4 linked regions of the Schizosaccharomyces pombe genome follow. The gene in region 3 interacts genetically with the main gene of each other region. Each region holds a gene or a part of one and is shown on either strand. Other genes may lie near its edges.

Region 1 (3,836 bases), 1.2 Mb from region 3:
AAAGGTGGCTATATGTCTCTATGGATATGTGCTTGACCCATGTAGGGCTATGGATCCCAAAGTGGTAAGCACGTCGTATGTATCCTTACAGATTTTAAACAAGCCCTACGTTGGTTTCAGAAATATTAACGCAAACTATACATTTCCAACAACAAGCTATAGTCGACGAAATGACGAGGAGATAACTTCTGGAGCATCATCACAAAAATCTTATTCGAGGCAAGAACCCATGATCCACAGACGGGAATTCTATAGAACTTATCAAGATTTGGATGCGCCTAACCAGGAGGTTCCAGAATTAGATTACTAAATTTATGTTCTTAGTCAGAAAGATTTTTGGTTAATATCATTTCCTGTATAGACGTTACTAGCAGTTGTAGCTCCATACTATATTTTAGATTTTAAAGTAGCGATAATCTACATTCACAGCTATTGTAAAATTGAACGCTTAAGTCCATGTTCGAAAATCAAACATCGAACGCTGCACAGATAGAAATAAACCCACTTCCAACTTGACTTACAGCTTACAAGATAGCTATTGTTTGGAAAATTAATAAATTACAATTCAAATTAATAATTCGTAAGTCAACAAAAGCATTTTTTTTTCTAATTATTATATTTTAAGATTTGGTCTAAACTTACTTAACAATAGTTATTTATTAGAACAAAACTTGGTACGAGATAGAAAATAAGCACAGTTTAGTAGATGAATCGCTGGGTCGACAGACAATATTGGAAAACCAATTTGTTTATCTGATAATTTGATAACTATTCCCAATTAAAAAATTATAAAGGAAACGTTACGAAACTGAAAGGATGTAGAAGCTTCACAGTTGAGTCTTTAATAAATATGTGCTGGCTTTCCCTTCAATTCCAGTAACACCAATAGAAAATACTCGAGGATAGATAAGTATGGAAAATATTTATGTATCACAAAAAATTGAATAAATTGAAAACATTCCGTGAACCACTTCAGATAAACAAGATAAGATGGTAATAAAGTAGTAAAAGAGAAAGGATATGTTAAACAAAAAGTATTGAGGGATAAGAGATCATGGTTACGTGTAGTAACAATTATTTCGGAGGAGAAAAGGAAAGAGAAAACAGAGTGATAGCGCTATGCACACATACAATCGTGTTTAAAAAACCGATGTCTACTGACTGTTGTTCAAACCGGCGATGGAAAGATCCCGCATACTCTGTAAAACTTGTTCAACTTTATCATCCAACAAACCATTGGAATAGTCTTCGCGTACAGAGTTGTCAAAGTATTGCTGAACTTGAGCCATTTTCTCATATCCCTCCCTACAAAAGCGGAGCTGAATTTTGACAAGGGCTTCAAAGCTAGGGTCCAAATAAGGCACACGAAGAGCAATTAGTTGCGGAAGCTCACTGACCAGTTGATTATTGAGTGTCTCGTAGACCTCCTTCGCCATGGCTGCTTCTTTCTCGGTACGGGGAAGCTTAGTAGTGTCGTTGGAAGGCTTGTCGACCAGTTTTTGAACCTTAGCCCTCATAGCATCATGATCAAGTAATTTGTGATTACGCTTCGTGATAGCGGCATTAATATCGGGAAAGTAACTGCAGAACCTTGAGATGGGATCCAACACCGTTGTCCGGAAAGGACCGTCCAACTCTTTTACGGTATCGGCGTCCAAGTCTTCGACGACTTGTCGATAGTATGCACTGACACCATCCTTCGATCCAGCATCACCGTAAAATGCATCGATTGTGTTAGCGATTCTAGTTTGAGACGCAGTCATGGCTCTCAAAGCATCGAGATAACCTTTGGCTTCTTTTTGAAGCTTCTTTGCAGCTGATTCCATAGTTCTATAACGTCTTTCCTCTGTTTCAAATTCCCGATCCACCGTTCGCTCAACATGACCCGTCTTCATCATAACCTACCACAATGTTAGACAATTCTTCAACACTCAAATACATACCGAGGTACCCGCTCGGTTAACGGCCTTTTTGAATCCATGCCAACTCATTTTTGTGATATGGAAAAGAGAAGCGTCGGCATACCCAGATATCTTATGTCAGTTGATCGCTGCGCTAATGTTCGCTAGCTAAGCTGCATTGGATCTTTTAGTGGATTCAGCAGGATTCGCGTAGGGAACAATTCACGGAAGCAAAGCCATAACGTAAAGCCTGATTGCGAAGTTTATCATTGCGTTAAATAGAATAATGATAGTTTATTTCACAATGCAATTATAAAAAGATAAGGATGAAAAGCGTGTCGTTAATTTTGTGTTTAATTGATAGAGCAAGAGCATAATGGTGGTAAATTTGGGTTTCGAGGGTTGGCTTACTTTCATGTCACTATCAATAAATTACATCGCTTAAAAAATATATCTAAATTTTTCTTGTATAATCATCTGTAGTAAATCTCTGACTGCAATTAGAGGTCTATCCTCAGATAATTCTTGTTCACTAACTGCATCCAGCAGAAATCGCCTTATAAGGTAATATAGTTATGTTATAGTTTAATATAATATATCAATGTAAACATTTTAACTTGACAATATAGAGGTAATATCGTTTGCTCATAAATGGAAGATATTGTGGAGAAGCAATTTGAAATACGGACATTTTACCAACTTATAAATTTCATTAGAAGTGGTGGAATAAATGGTTTTGCATTATATGGATATAATGTTTTGAGGCTTCGACATGGAAAGACACGATTGCTACTTATCAATATATGAGATCATTCATGATAAAACTATAAAGAAAACGCTTTTCAGCGACATTTGAGCTAAAAAAACCCGGTCTCATAGTTTGCATCCTTACTCAAAAAGTGAAGAACTTAAGTTGTAGTAGTGGTGCATTACTTTGAGAGCTATTGTATAGCGATATTAGATATTGAAACAAGAACTCAGCCATTCAATGACAGTTTGTTTGTTCTGTGGGCAGTAAGACATCCAGATAATGCCCAAGAGAAAGATTCTTCTGAAAGTAAGAAACAAAAGCACCGAAATAAACCTTTCTTCTCTCTTTGTTGTCTTATCTAATTTTATAACTAAATTTGCCCATAAATCTCATCTGTGTGATGATAATTAACCGCATTTGACCAGCCCAAATATATTCTATTACAGAAAACAAGCGCTGCTACTAATAGATATACATAATTTTATAATATAATATTAATAATATAAAAAATTTAGTTGTACTGAAAATATTATCTTATGGAAAACTCCTTATAAACACTTTTTAGCGAGACACATCTACCACCACCTTACGCAGTATGAACACGTATTATACCCCAATACCTCGCTCCTCCTTCCCTTCTGTGACGTAATAGACGAGGTTATAAATATGGTGAATTATACATTCGAGTAGCTTCCAAGATCAAACTACAATTAAGTATTTCCTTTTATTTTAGTTTAGTATCGTATTTCTCTCATATCGATACTGTGCCCGTTTTTAAAATGTATGGAAGATTGAAAGATGGTTAAGCTTTATGGTCCAATTTTACTAATCTTCAATTCAATTAGAAGTTTCAACAACTCTTCTCCAAATTTCTAGTTTAATGTATGTCAGTTTTAATTATCAAACTTAACTCTAGCTACTCCATGTCTATTTGCTTAGCATGGTTTGAAAGACCTTTTGTATCTCGACATTATCTCTGCTGTTTGTAAACGAGCTGCATTAAGATTCGAAATACTTATGGTTTTTTAGTAGCAGTCGTTGTTAGTACTCTTTACATTCGTGGAATTTTTTTTTCCCGATTTCGCTAATCAACAGTAAACGATATTATTAAGTGTGATGGATTTGAACTATCAAGTATTCACTAGCATCTCCAAAAATTGGTGGTCCGCTTCTCTCGTTCCAGT
Region 2 (4,686 bases), 1.9 Mb from region 3:
TACTGATATTCCTAGACGATTAGCGATATCTGTGAACCTGAAATATTGTAAGTTAGTATTTAATAGCAATAATAAATTTTGTTTAGACTTGACAAAACTTACGTTAAGTTAGGTTTTACTATGGCAATGAAAGAAGAAAGAAGAGAATTTTGTAAAAGAGGAACACGTTTCATTATAGTGTCTGTATCCTTTAAGAGCAACAAAGTCCAATAGGGGGCAACGAAAGGTTCAATAGAGGAAGGATGTTCTTCAGAGAAGATGGTTTGAGATGCTAAAATAGTTGATGGTCTAACCTGCAGTTCGTAATTTTCAAGTGTGTTGGTGGAAACCGACATAGGCCAGAGTAAGCTTAAGTTAATCGATTGATTTATCTCTAAATAAGCCGTATGCATGTTAATTAAAGCCTCATATGTAGTAGCAAGAACCGAAGCAAGATTTGAGTGATGAGGGATTTGAGCGGCATACACATCGAATGGGACGTTTTGGCTTGAATATTTTTCAGTCAGTTTTAAGATGTGTATACACTCATTTTCAACATAATTCCGTTTTGCTTGTTCATATTTAAGTCCAGTAACTAACTTGACTACTATATGATCATACATCGTGTTTACAGTAGGGCGATATACGGTAGCTGTAGGCACATTTAATACAAAGACGACATGAAATAAAGACATTGAAGATCTCGATTTTGATGAAGATGATTTTACTTCAAAACTTCCTGTCGAAGGGTGTGAAGATTCGGGCTTTGATACCAAATGGCTCGAAGAAGCATTAGACTCAACAGTAGTTCGTGGTTTCCTTCGTTTAGCCCACTCACCGTTCGGACCAATATGAACAGGACATCCCAAAAAAGTAAGACCATCCACCCAAATTTCAAATTTTTGATTGCAAAGTTCAATACGAGGACTTAGCATATTTGCGAGAAAGCCTTTTTCATAACCAAGTACATGTGTATCGTCAGCTACTTCAGTAAACCTATTATTCTCATCATCATCGCTGTCATCAAGGTCGAGCATCCCGATTGCAGACTCCGCTGAATCATTATTATGATGAGTGGCTTGTAGACGTACTTGAGGTTGTAGCGGCCAGTGAAAGACGAAATTAGCTCCTGATGTTGTTTTTTCAACAAGGAAAATGGCTACTAATCGAGGAGTTAAGCGTACCATTTTGGCGTTTTAAAACAAAGTATAAATGTGTATGTTCGATAATTGAAGTACATATGTGTGTTTTTTAATATATTTTTCACAACAGAAAACCAAATATCACCTTAAACATTATACCTCAAGGGGGTGGTATCGTTTTCTGGTAATTTGCGTGTAGTACGAAAGATTTGTGAGCGATATGCATCTGGCAGCTCGGTGTTTTAATCGCCTAGTACAAAACTAATAAGATCTAACATGAATAGTTAAACTGAATGTTAACTAATTATTGACATCTTGAGATATGAGTTCACGGCTTTGTAAATTAATGTGTGAATTGAAAGTAAAAGCATCGCTATGCAAAATTTCTAATGTGCGTAAAACCTTAGCAACTTTAATAGCTCCAATTCAATTCTCAAGAGTTTCTGATTTAAGTTATAAAAATGAATTGACTAATTTATATACAATGTTTTGGGTTATTTACATTTCAGTCACATGTGCATTTGCACATATGCTGCTGGACTTACTGTTAATGTAGTATATTCATACCGCGAAGAAAATACCTGAATCATTTAAAATGACCGTGTAATTGATATCTAACTGTTGAAAGCATCGGAGGCCCCAATGTTCTACAACAAATCTCACCTTGCTTTGACCTCCACCAAATCTGTATTCCTTAACAATTCGTATGAGTGATAAGGAATGTACTGTTTTTGTACTTGACTTGGGCAAAGATATGGGGACCTGTCACCATGGCAGGTCTCATTCTGATCTCGAATGGACTTTGTCGTATTTTCACGACGAATTGTCTCATAAGGTATTTTGCTCAACATTATCGACACCCTATTGACACATACTCAGTTTTTAGCAAATAGGAAGACAGACGTAGTTGGAATCGTTGGTTACAAATGCGATGGTATTCTATTGTAATGTTTTAAAGGTACACTACTTCTAACTTTTACGGTGTTTAGATACGAAAAATGATTTAGCTGAGCAGGAAGCCTATTGGAATATCAGTGTTTTGTATCCTATACAAACGTAAGCTTTCTCTTAAATGCTCCATTAACTTCTTAACTAGTGCCTTATTTTCAAAGCTACAATCCGTTTCTCAAACGTTAAAACCAAGCAATACTATGCAAGGCGATCTGATATCTGCAATAGTTGTGTCCTTTGATTTGATGGCTCGGCATTGTAAAAAGAACAAATGGAAGAAGAAGATGATAGTGCTTACGGCAGCTAGGGGGATTATCGACTTTAGTGATTACATTGGAATTGCCGAACAACTACTGCAGCATGATGTTTTTCTAGGTGTTTATGGAGTTGATTTTGATCAAGAAGATATTAATTATTCTGAGCCTTTAAAGGAATCTCAGAAAAAGGAAAACGAAGTTCGAATTCAAGAGTTTGTTGAGAGTTGTCATGGTCAGTACTGCACATTTCAACAGATTTATAACAACATCGGTAAACCTTGGGTTCGTAAAGTGAGACCTGTCGCAATCTTTAGAGGTACATTTAGTATTGGTAATAGAGACAGCAAAGATACGTCTATAAGCATACAGGTTGAAAGATATCCTAGAACTCGTTTAACTAAACCGCCAACATCATCTGCTTTTTATGAAAACGATATGTCTAAAAATTATGAATGTCTTAATATCGAAAATTCAAATGTGGAAAACAAAAGTATGGAATCTGATGCAGTGTCTACTGTTCGATCGTACATGGTTCGTGATCCAAAAACAAACGATTCTTTTGAGGTTAAAAGAGAAGACTTGGAAAGCGGTTATAGTTATGGTAGGACAATCGTCCCGATCAGCCGATCAGATGAAGACGTATTGGCTTTAGATACAATACCCGGTTATGAAATCCTTGGATTTATTCCTAAATCTAGTCTTCCAATTTATTATACCATTAGTGATACTAATATAATCGTTCCAAAAGATGACTTCGAAAGCAAATTAAATTTTTCTGCCTTTGTTCAATCCCTTGAACGTGAACACCGATATGCGCTCGCAAGGTTTGTTTCTAAAGATAAGGGCGTACCAGTTTTGCTGGTCTTGATGCCTTACGTGGAGTTTAAAAGACATTACTTGGTTGATATACAACTTCCATTCGCTGAAGATGTTCGGCCTTATTCTTTCTCAGAGTTCGAGAAACTGTCAAATGAAGAGGATATGCGACAAATTGATTTTGCCGTAAGTAATTATATCGATAATATGGATTTAGATTCCTCTGATTGTGGGTTCAATCCTCCTTTTGAGCCCGAAAATACCTTTAGTATGATACCACATAGACTTCAACAAGCTATCAGTTATTATGCAAATTCACCAGAAGGCGATCTTCCTCAACCAAATATTTACTTAACACGTTACACCAATCCTCCAAAAAGTTTACTTGATAATTGCATTTTGGACTTGAAGTTGATTAAGGAAAAACTTACAGTGAACGTCCCCGTCAAACCAAAATATTCTTCTCAAGAAACAGCCTTCGACACAGGCGCCCCAATATCAGAGGAACAAATAGAAGAACTACTAAATTCTGGTCTCGATGAACAGGAAGGAGAAAAATTATTAGTCCTTCACGTTAGTGAAAAAGACCCAGTAGGCACTTTCACTGAAGTTTTGAAAAACCCTTTTGGACTAGAGGATGCTTTGACAGAAATGGAAAAAGTAATTAAAAATCTTATTGACAAGTCTAAGTACGATCTTGCTTTGCAGTCATTGCAATCTCTCAGGTTACACTCAATTTTGGAAGACGAAGTTGAAAGATTTAATGAGTATCTTACTCGATTGAAAAAGGACGTAATGCAAAATAACAAACCCAAGGAGAATGAGCTTATTAACAAAATAAGATCATCTGGATTAGATATTATTCTCCATGATGAATTGACTAGACATGATAATTTTAATAACATTTAGCATAGGACAACAATGACTTGTCTTACTCGAACATAAATAAATAAATTTTATTAAATACTTGCAATATTTTTTTTACTTTTATCCAAATTTCTAATAAAAATTTTTAAGTCATGAATCCGCTATTTATTAGCATATAGAATACACGGTCGCAAAAATAGAAAATAGTTTTAACTTAAGTAGTTTAGGTAAACATACCTATGATATTTCAGAAAACACAACTATCGTTTAAAAACTTGGTGAGAGTTCCTTGCATTTTTTTATTTATATTCTATCTTTCACAATTACATTATTCAAAGAACATTTTAGACTTACTTTCACGAATTGGACAAATATCGGGGACATGCTTAAGGAGCTACAGCAGTGTTCCTTATTAGTGATACTAAAATTTAATAGTTTGGTCGTATCTATTTACCTACCACTGACTTTTTGATCTGTTACGCTTCGGCGATTGGAAAGCGTTCCTGAACTTTCTGTCATTTTAAATAAAATTTAAATTTTTTAAATATTTAAATTAATTCGATCAAAATGACTGAAGTCGAAACCACACACATGAATGCAGGTACAGAGAGCCAACAAGAGCCTGCTGAGCTAGCTGAAAAGCAAAAGGCTATAGGAAACGCTTTCTATAAAGA
Region 3 (4,483 bases):
TCCCATAACGGGCTCATATTCCTTAAGAAAGAAACTTGTCTACTCACATTTTCAATAGCATAATCAATTTCGGCTTCAGTTGTAAATCGGCCAATACCAAAACGAATAGAACTGTGAGCATTTTCATCACTCTGACCAATTGCACGCAAAACGTAAGACGGTTCTAGAGATGCGGATGTGCAGGCAGAACCAGAAGACAGCGCGATATTTTTCAAACCCATAAGCAACGATTCCCCTTCTACATAATTGAAAGAAATGTTGACACAACCTGGATATCTAGATTTAGGGTCGCCATTCAAAGATGTATATGGGATTGCAAGAAGGCCATCTATTAATCTTTGGGATAGTTTGGAAATATGTGCATAATCATACTTCATTTCTTCTTTGCATATACGGGCCGCAGTACCAAATCCCACTACTTGAGATGGAGCAAGAGTACCACTTCGTAAACCTCGTTCCTGACCTCCACCACTAATAAGCGGCTCTAAACGTACACGAGGACGTCTTCTAACATAAGCGGCTCCAATTCCTTTAGGGCCGTAAATTTTGTGAGCAGAAATAGACATTAAATCAATGTTCATTCGATTGACGTCAATGTCAATTTTTCCATATCCTTGAGCAGCATCTGAGTGAAAGAAAACCTTCTTCTGTCGACAAATTTTGCCAATCTCTTCTAGTGGTTGACAAACACCAATTTCATTATTGACGGCCATTACACTTACACAAACAGTATCAGGACGTATGGCGTCACGTAATTCATCCAAATTAATAAGGCCATTAGTTTGAACAGGTAGAAAAGTAACTTCAAACCCTTCTTCTTGGAGAGCACGTAAGGAATCCAAAACGCATTTGTGCTCAGTTTGAACGGAAACAAGATGCTTTTTCCTACTTTTGTAAAATCGGGCAACACCTTTCAAAATAGCATTATTTGATTCAGTTGCGCCAGATGTAAAAATAATTTCTCTTGGATCAGCATTGATTACAGATGCTATCTCTTGGCGTGCATTTTCAACAGCTTTTTCTGCTTCCCAGCCATAGGCGTGTGTTCGACTATGTGGGTTTCCATAAATTCCAGTGAAGAAGGGAAGCATACTATCTAGTACACGATAGTCGAGAGGAGAGGTAGCTTGAAAATCCATATATATAGGATGCAATCCCGTAACCGTACTAGCAGCGGTTTGTGCTTGATCCAAAGTTACTGTTTTCAAAGAATTTTCCGGTATGGGCTCTTGAACCGCCGTCATGTTTCCTAGCCCGTACATTTGTTCACGAGGTTTATTGCTCATTGAAGGTTTGTCCATACGACTGGAAGTCATAAACGACCTACCGTAAACTCCAAGACTCTGTCTAACATTATTAATATCCTGACTCTCTCGCTTGACAAAAAATAAAGCACTTCGTAGTTCAAGAAGGCATCTTGCTCTAGAAAGCATCAAACTTCCCATTTTGGACATGGTTGTTTCCAAAATAGAGGAAATTTTGCTAATTCTTTATTTATTTCCTAAACAACAAGAAACAAGTCCTTTTTAAAATAATTTGGCAGTTGCTAAGTTCAAATTTTGCGATCTGACTAATAAAAATTTTGGTTGGCGGCGTATCTGAAACCAACCAAAACTAAGCTTCGACCCAATACATGTAGAGCTGCGCAATTATCAGTATGTTATCATTGCATCGTAAACGACGGAGACACTGTTCAATCGAATAAAAACTGTAATAAAGAGCATAGAGACGAGCAAATTAAAATCAAATGTTTGCCTTATATTTACTATGTTTTCACCTCATCTAGATAAAAATAAAAATAAAAATAACGAGACGTTGCGTAGTATACTGTATTTGCGATTCGGCACAATTACAGGAAACGATCAGCATTGCTGCGAAGTATGCTACGTGAATACGGAGAAGGATGGTTAAGGGAATTTGAAAGGGTCAGACATACCAACTACCAGAATTACTTGATGAGCTGGAAAGGGTTTACAAAGGCACTTGCGCGTACGCCGCAGACTCTACGCAGCAAGTTTAATGTTGGAGAGATTACCAAAGATCCTATTTATGAGGATGCTGGAAGACGGTTTAAGTCTTTAGAAACGGAAGCGAAAAAGCTGGCTGAAGACGCCAAAAAGTATACTGATGCTATTAATGGGTTATTGAATCATCAAATTGGATTTGCCGATGCTTGTATTGAAATTTACAAGCCTATTAGTGGGCGTGCTTCGGATCCTGAATCGTATGAGCAAGAAGGCAATGCGGAAGGTATTGAGGCTGCCGAGGCTTACAAGGAAATTGTATACGATCTCCAAAAGAATTTGGCTTCTGAAATGGATGTTATCAACACTCGCATTGTCAATCCAACTGGTGAACTGCTCAAGATTGTTAAGGATGTAGATAAGCTTTTGTTGAAACGCGATCATAAGCAGCTGGATTATGATCGTCATCGTTCATCTTTCAAGAAACTTCAGGAAAAGAAGGATAAAAGCCTTAAAGATGAGAAGAAGCTTTATGAAGCTGAAACCGCCTTTGAACAATCTTCCCAAGAATATGAATATTATAATGAAATGCTGAAGGAGGAGTTACCTAAACTATTTGCATTGGCTCAGAGCTTCATTGCTCCCTTATTCCAAGGATTTTACTATATGCAATTAAATGTCTATTACGTTCTTTATGAAAAGATGAGTCACTGCGAAATTCAGTACTTTGATTTCAATACCGATATTTTGGAATCGTACGAAAGAAGACGCGGCGATGTTAAAGATCGCGCAGAGGCTTTGACGATTACTAAATTTAAGACCGCTAAACCGACGTATAAACGACCGGGTATGGGACCGGGTGGTAAAGATGCAACTGCTTCTTCTTCTTCTTCCTTTTCGTCAAAGCGTGAAGAAGCAGCAGCCGAACCCTCCTCTTCGACAGCTACGGATATTCCACCCCCATACTCAACGCCATCGGTTGCCGGAGCTTCCGATTATTCTACCCCAAGTGCAGGTTATCAAACTGTTCAGACGACCACTACTACAACTGAAGCAGCAGCTGCTCAATACCCTCAAGCGGCCTTTCCTCCCCCTCCAGTTATGCCTCAACCTGCTGCTGCGGCAGTGACCACACCTGTTGCTGCACCGGTAGCAGCAGCTGCAGCCGCAGTTCCCGTACCTCCACCAGCGCCTGCACCTGCTGCGGCTCCCGCCGCAGAGCATGTTGTTGCTTTATATGATTATGCTGCCCAAGCAGCCGGAGATTTATCTTTTCATGCTGGCGATCGTATCGAAGTTGTTTCACGTACTGATAATCAAAATGTAAGTACTTAAACTTAAATTTTCATTTTTTTCTTATTAAACAAGGACTTTACTAATATATATTTTAGGAATGGTGGATTGGCCGACTTAACGGTGCACAAGGTCAATTTCCTGGTAATTATGTTCAGCTTGAATAAAGCGTTTTTAAATTTACCTAGATGTGTCTTAAAATCTCGCTGCCTACTGAAGTCAATATAGAAGCTTGATTATAGGACTTGTTGTTACAGGTTACTGTTTGTGTGCGCGCTTCAACAAGTTTTACACTGCTATTCAATTTCTATCAATTTTGTCGTTCTAACTATGATGCTTAAATTTAGACATGTATTCCATACATCATCATCTCCAGTGATAATTTAACACTGTCTATGTTTGAATACTGGCTTTTTATCAACGTGTTTCCTTACTGACGTGTACTTCAAAGAGTAGCACATTTTTTGAAATGTTTTGAATAACGTAAACTTATATATATTAATTACGTTTAACTGTTTTTATTTTAATTTAACTAGTCTATCAACAAAGCTGTCCTTTCTTATATCTATACTTTAACAGTGCTAGCTAGGATTGAAGCAAAACATGATTCGAACTAGAGCTTTCATTGTGATATTGAATTTTTTGGGATTTGTAGTTTCAACAGTATAACAATCGGAATTGATGTATTCTAGCAGGAAATATACGACATACAGTATTTAGAGTCGTTGCTAAACGAGAATCGTTTAACGAACTTCGTTAACAGACAGTATTCCATGACTTAAGTGAATAGTTAACTACGTAACCTAATGCAGCAACGATACGGTAAATACAATATCGAGTGTTAATGAAATTTGTAATAAAGTAATTTGCATAGCTGATAGTATCATGCAAATCAATCTAGTAAGTGAGTTAGCACCTACCAAAGGAAATTGGATGATGAAAAGTGTTGTTTGAGAATATCAGTTACAGGATATTATGGTACGCCCCATAAATGCTGAAGAGGATGTGACATCCATGTGGGTTAAATTTCATGAAAGCCTAAATCCCATTCGGTCTAGTTTAATAAAACAAGAAGAATGTTATAAAACGGTTGATGGCGACGATAATCCAATTGAAGAAAGAATTAAAGCGTGTGACGCGGGAATTCAAACCTCTGAAGAACAGAAAAAAGAATTGGAGCATACAATGCAATCTCTTGAGATGATTATTAATGTACTCGAAAAAGC
Region 4 (3,655 bases), on a different chromosome or scaffold from region 3:
ACTATTGGTAATAATGTAATGCTAGGCCCCAATGTATGTTTATATATATATATAGTTACTTTCAAGTCATTCATTCAAAAAATAAATATACTAATGGTGTCTTTCCAGGTTCAACTATGTACAGCAACACATCCCTTGGATTTTAAAGCAAGGAACTCCGGAATTGAATTTGGTTTACCAATTAACGTATGCGTTAGTCCAGTTATTGAAACATCTTACAACTAACAAACAAAATTTTATCAAGATTCAGGACAATGTTTGGATTGGTATGGGAGTTATAGTTCTCCCAGGTGTTACTATCGGGGAAGGCAGTGTAATTGGAGCGGGTGCTGTTGTTACAAAAGACATCCCACCTAATACGTTGGCTGTAGGATCACCTGCCAAACCTATTCGTAAAATTGAAAACGAGTGAACGAGTGTAATTTTTTTTTTTATTATTTCATCTAACGATTAAATGCTCTTTGAACTTCTTAAGTTCACCTGGCTTGGTTCCTAAATTTTTAAAATAGTATAAATAATATTATATTATGTTTGAGCTTTAAATTGTTATATAGAAGACTTAGAATGCTAAAAGAAATCCATTTCTCACTCGCCAAGTAGGATCAGTTTCCTCCTATGACTTGCTAAAGCCCCCACGTGGTACTGCAATCGATTTTAATTCTAATGCTTAGCCAAGTCTAAAATAGTTGAAATTCTTAGTGGGATAAGAACTCTTAACCCCCACGATATATTTGAATGCTAAATAACCTAACCTAAAACCATTTTACACATTTTATTACTAACTTCATTATATTCTTGTAGAGGAACCATCCCATTCACCAGTTCTGAAGTCTCGACAACGAAAATTCATAAAATATGGCGCCTGCAGAACTTAAACGACCTGATTTAATCGTTCCCTACAAAGCTAGAGTCAAAGCAAATGAAGAAGGTAAAGTAGAAAGCACTTTCAAATTGAACCCAATCGTGAGTTACGCTGATTTAATCGCTCAAGCTTTAGTTCATTGTGGAATATTTTAAATCCTTTCTTTCGTCAAATAATTTATTAAGTTTGCTAACCCTATTATAGTTGGCTTGAGTTTGGTAAGCACAGCCACGTGTATGGCTGCTTTATTTCTTCGTTTCAAGTATGTAAGATATTTTAGGATTTTCATGTTAACGAGAAGATTAATTGCATGGGTTGCTTTTATCCTAACCTTTTCAAATTTACTGAACGCAAATACGTCTCCCAGCTCATCTCCGACTTCAATGGCTTTGTAAGTAATCCTAATTCATTGCATTAATGTAGTTCTATGGATGTTAACATTTGATCAGTATGGGTATCGCGGCTCTTGTGTCAACATATTTACCGGTAAGTTGAATTTTTATATTTACTTTGTCGATTAACTTGTGCAGCAATTTTTAAATACTCCAAACAAAACTTAGTAATTTTTAAGTCAGTGAATTAATAAGAGTATTAAGCTGATTTTTTTCTGGATAATTAAATTTATGCACAATGTAAATATCTAATGGTGAAGAGTTCAGATACATTTCTAACTACCATTTCAATCACGTAGCAGACGCGTAAAAAATTGGCTGTTTGTGTTTTCTCATTGTTAAGCTAGTGAAAATGTAAATTTATTTCTTACATCCTGTTGCTCTTTCATTTTTTCTTCCTAATGTATTTTAGTTGCTTTTTTAAACCCAATGAGAACAAAGGCTTAAAGTAAATATATATAATTTTCACATGTTCAACAGTTTACCGTTAACAAATGCACGGACCTTGATTATGATTAATGGTTGAATGAAAAATATCAACTTTCCTTATCTTTAACTATAATTTAAATGAAGTAGTAGTTCATTAATACTAAAGCAGACTTGCATTGCAAATGCTGAACATTACTAAAAGGTTGGTCTAGTTATAAGGTAACTGAGCGTGCACTTTATTATTTTAACGTGTTGGGTGCGCCCCATTAATAATGAAATACTGCATATGAGTGAATGGTCCTACTATTGTTCCCTGCCCTTCTCCAACAACGCAAATCGGATATCCTAACTCGGTGTAATTCCAAGGCGATATCGATATTTGTGCAACTTTTTTTTAAAGTTATCACAAATAGAAGAGAGGTTGCTATAAAAATGTCAACGACCGCAAGAAGACGTCTCATGCGAGATTTTAAGGTACGGCAGTTGTGGATCCGAGAAGACTTATATTAACCAATTCTTAGAGGATGCAGCAAGATCCTCCTGCTGGAGTTTCAGCTTCCCCTGTCTCTGACAATGTAATGCTTTGGTAAGTGTTTACCTATGTCAATTCATTTTTCTCTTATTGTTATGCAACGTAATGGTGAATATATGTGCTATATATTGAATGCCTTTTTTGCCATATATTTAGGAAGGAGATCGTTTCAAAATTCTTACAAGAAGCGATCTTTTTATGCTTGTTGGTTTCTGGATTGATTGCTTTTGTTTTTTATTATTGATGTTGGACTAACCATTTGAGCAGGAATGCTGTTATCATTGGCCCAGCAGACACTCCATTTGAAGATGGAACTTTTAAGTTGGTTCTTTCTTTTGATGAACAATATCCTAATAAACCTCCTCTTGTAAAATTCGTCTCCACAATGGTATGCTTAGTCATTGTATTTAGACAAGTCTTAAATTAGATTATTTGATTTGTTGTAATTTACTTTTTTCTTGGTTTTTTTTGTTTACTTACTTATTGGCTTTAGTTCCATCCAAATGTGTACGCAAATGGCGAACTTTGCTTGGACATTCTGCAAAACAGGTGGTCTCCAACTTACGATGTGGCAGCAATTCTTACCTCTATTCAAAGGTTTGCTTTTCAGAAATATTACTTAAATTTCTCATAACTAACTTTTAGCTTACTTAATGATCCAAATAATGCGTCCCCTGCAAATGCCGAAGCTGCTCAGCTGCATCGTGAAAACAAGAAGGAGTATGTGCGTCGAGTACGAAAAACTGTAGAAGACTCCTGGGAAAGTTGATTTCAAGACATAGCTGTCTTAATAATCCCTATTTCATTAGAACTTACTCTTCTTTTTCAACCGCCTTTCACATTAAATCTATTTAAGTGCTTCAAAGTTGCCAAAATTGTAACTATAGTAAATCATTAAGATTTTTTTGTTTACATCTACGAATGAATGATTTCTTCCTTATGTTTAGAACTTGTAAACTATATTAATGTGCGACTAATCACATATACAGACATGTACATGCAAAATTTATATTGATCTTATTAAACATAACCTGCCCTAAACCACACAAAAATACCAAACCAAGCGCAAAAACTCCATTTTTTTAAATACATATGGTCAATTTTTTTAAGTAAACCTCAACGGCTGTTCCCAAAATAATGATTAACGACGTTTCAAATTCTTCTTTCTTTTACGATATGACTGGCCAATTTGAACAGGTGAAGCTAATGAGCCATCGTTAACGTCTTCAAAATTAGCACGTCTCTTAGCTCTAGAAGTCAGGTCTAATTTACGATTTGAAAAGTCATCGTCATGGAATTTGCGATCAAGCAATGACCAGTCTTCACCACCATAATCGTGTTTCTTTACACGTTTAGATTTCTTTAAATCTTTCTTCGATAATTTAGGAAGGCGAGTATAATTACTTTCCTCATACTCTATCCTCTCACGCATTTTTTGCA

Evidence for each region.
Region 1: of hob1 (region 3) and hob3, changing one suppresses a phenotype caused by changing the other (phenotypic suppression), as found in Schizosaccharomyces pombe (one study listed by BioGRID).
Region 2: of hob1 (region 3) and pku80, a mutation in one rescues a mutant of the other (synthetic rescue), as found in Schizosaccharomyces pombe (one study listed by BioGRID).
Region 4: of hob1 (region 3) and rhp6, a mutation in one rescues a mutant of the other (synthetic rescue), as found in Schizosaccharomyces pombe (one study listed by BioGRID).

The regions. Positions count from the first base shown.
Region 1 is NC_003423.3:1,221,206-1,225,041, forward strand, and holds hob3 (BAR adaptor protein Hob3), read right to left. Parts: upstream 2,001-3,836; 5' UTR 1,992-2,000; coding exon 1,944-1,991; exon of another isoform or gene 1,902-1,943; coding exon 1,155-1,901; 3' UTR 539-1,154; downstream 1-538. Other genes in the region: pir2 (C2H2-type zinc finger domain-containing protein), read left to right, coding at 1-310; tsp0 (tspO-like protein), read left to right, coding at 3,769-3,836. UniProt on the Schizosaccharomyces pombe protein: Involved in cytokinesis and septation where it has a role in the localization of F-actin.
Region 2 is NC_003423.3:4,302,509-4,307,194, reverse strand, and holds pku80 (Ku domain protein Pku80 ), read left to right. Parts: upstream 1-1,792; 5' UTR 1,793-1,827; coding exon 1,828-1,956; intron 1,957-2,000; coding exon 2,001-2,055; intron 2,056-2,110; coding exon 2,111-2,177; intron 2,178-2,217; coding exon 2,218-4,054; 3' UTR 4,055-4,172; downstream 4,173-4,686. Other genes in the region: Npr2/3 complex subunit Npr3, read right to left, coding at 1-37, 103-1,166; SPOM_SPBC543.02C (TPR domain protein, DNAJC7 family), read left to right, coding at 4,580-4,686. UniProt on the Schizosaccharomyces pombe protein: Single-stranded DNA-dependent ATP-dependent helicase. Involved in non-homologous end joining (NHEJ) DNA double strand break repair. DNA-binding is sequence-independent but has a high affinity to nicks in double-stranded DNA and to the ends of duplex DNA.
Region 3 is NC_003423.3:2,419,731-2,424,213, reverse strand, and holds hob1 (BAR adaptor protein Hob1), read left to right. Parts: upstream 1-1,937; 5' UTR 1,938-1,955; coding exon 1,956-3,287; intron 3,288-3,355; coding exon 3,356-3,424; 3' UTR 3,425-3,951; downstream 3,952-4,483. Other genes in the region: cysteine desulfurase Nfs1, read right to left, coding at 1-1,454; SAGA complex subunit Sgf29, read left to right, coding at 4,233-4,483. UniProt on the Schizosaccharomyces pombe protein: Has a role in DNA damage signaling as a part of stress response processes.
Region 4 is NC_003424.3:303,608-307,262, forward strand, and holds rhp6 (ubiquitin-conjugating enzyme E2 2), read left to right. Parts: upstream 1-1,998; 5' UTR 1,999-2,115; coding exon 2,116-2,157; exon of another isoform or gene 2,158-2,204; coding exon 2,205-2,269; exon of another isoform or gene 2,270-2,449; intron 2,450-2,482; coding exon 2,483-2,603; intron 2,604-2,708; coding exon 2,709-2,812; intron 2,813-2,860; coding exon 2,861-2,984; 3' UTR 2,985-3,155; downstream 3,156-3,655. Other genes in the region: SPOM_SPAC18B11.09C (serine O-acetyltransferase activity), read left to right, coding at 1-33, 109-186, 245-412; protein pat10, read left to right, coding at 856-928, 1,067-1,124, 1,164-1,253, 1,312-1,348, 1,393-1,422; U3 snoRNP-associated protein Lcp5, read right to left, coding at 3,357-3,655.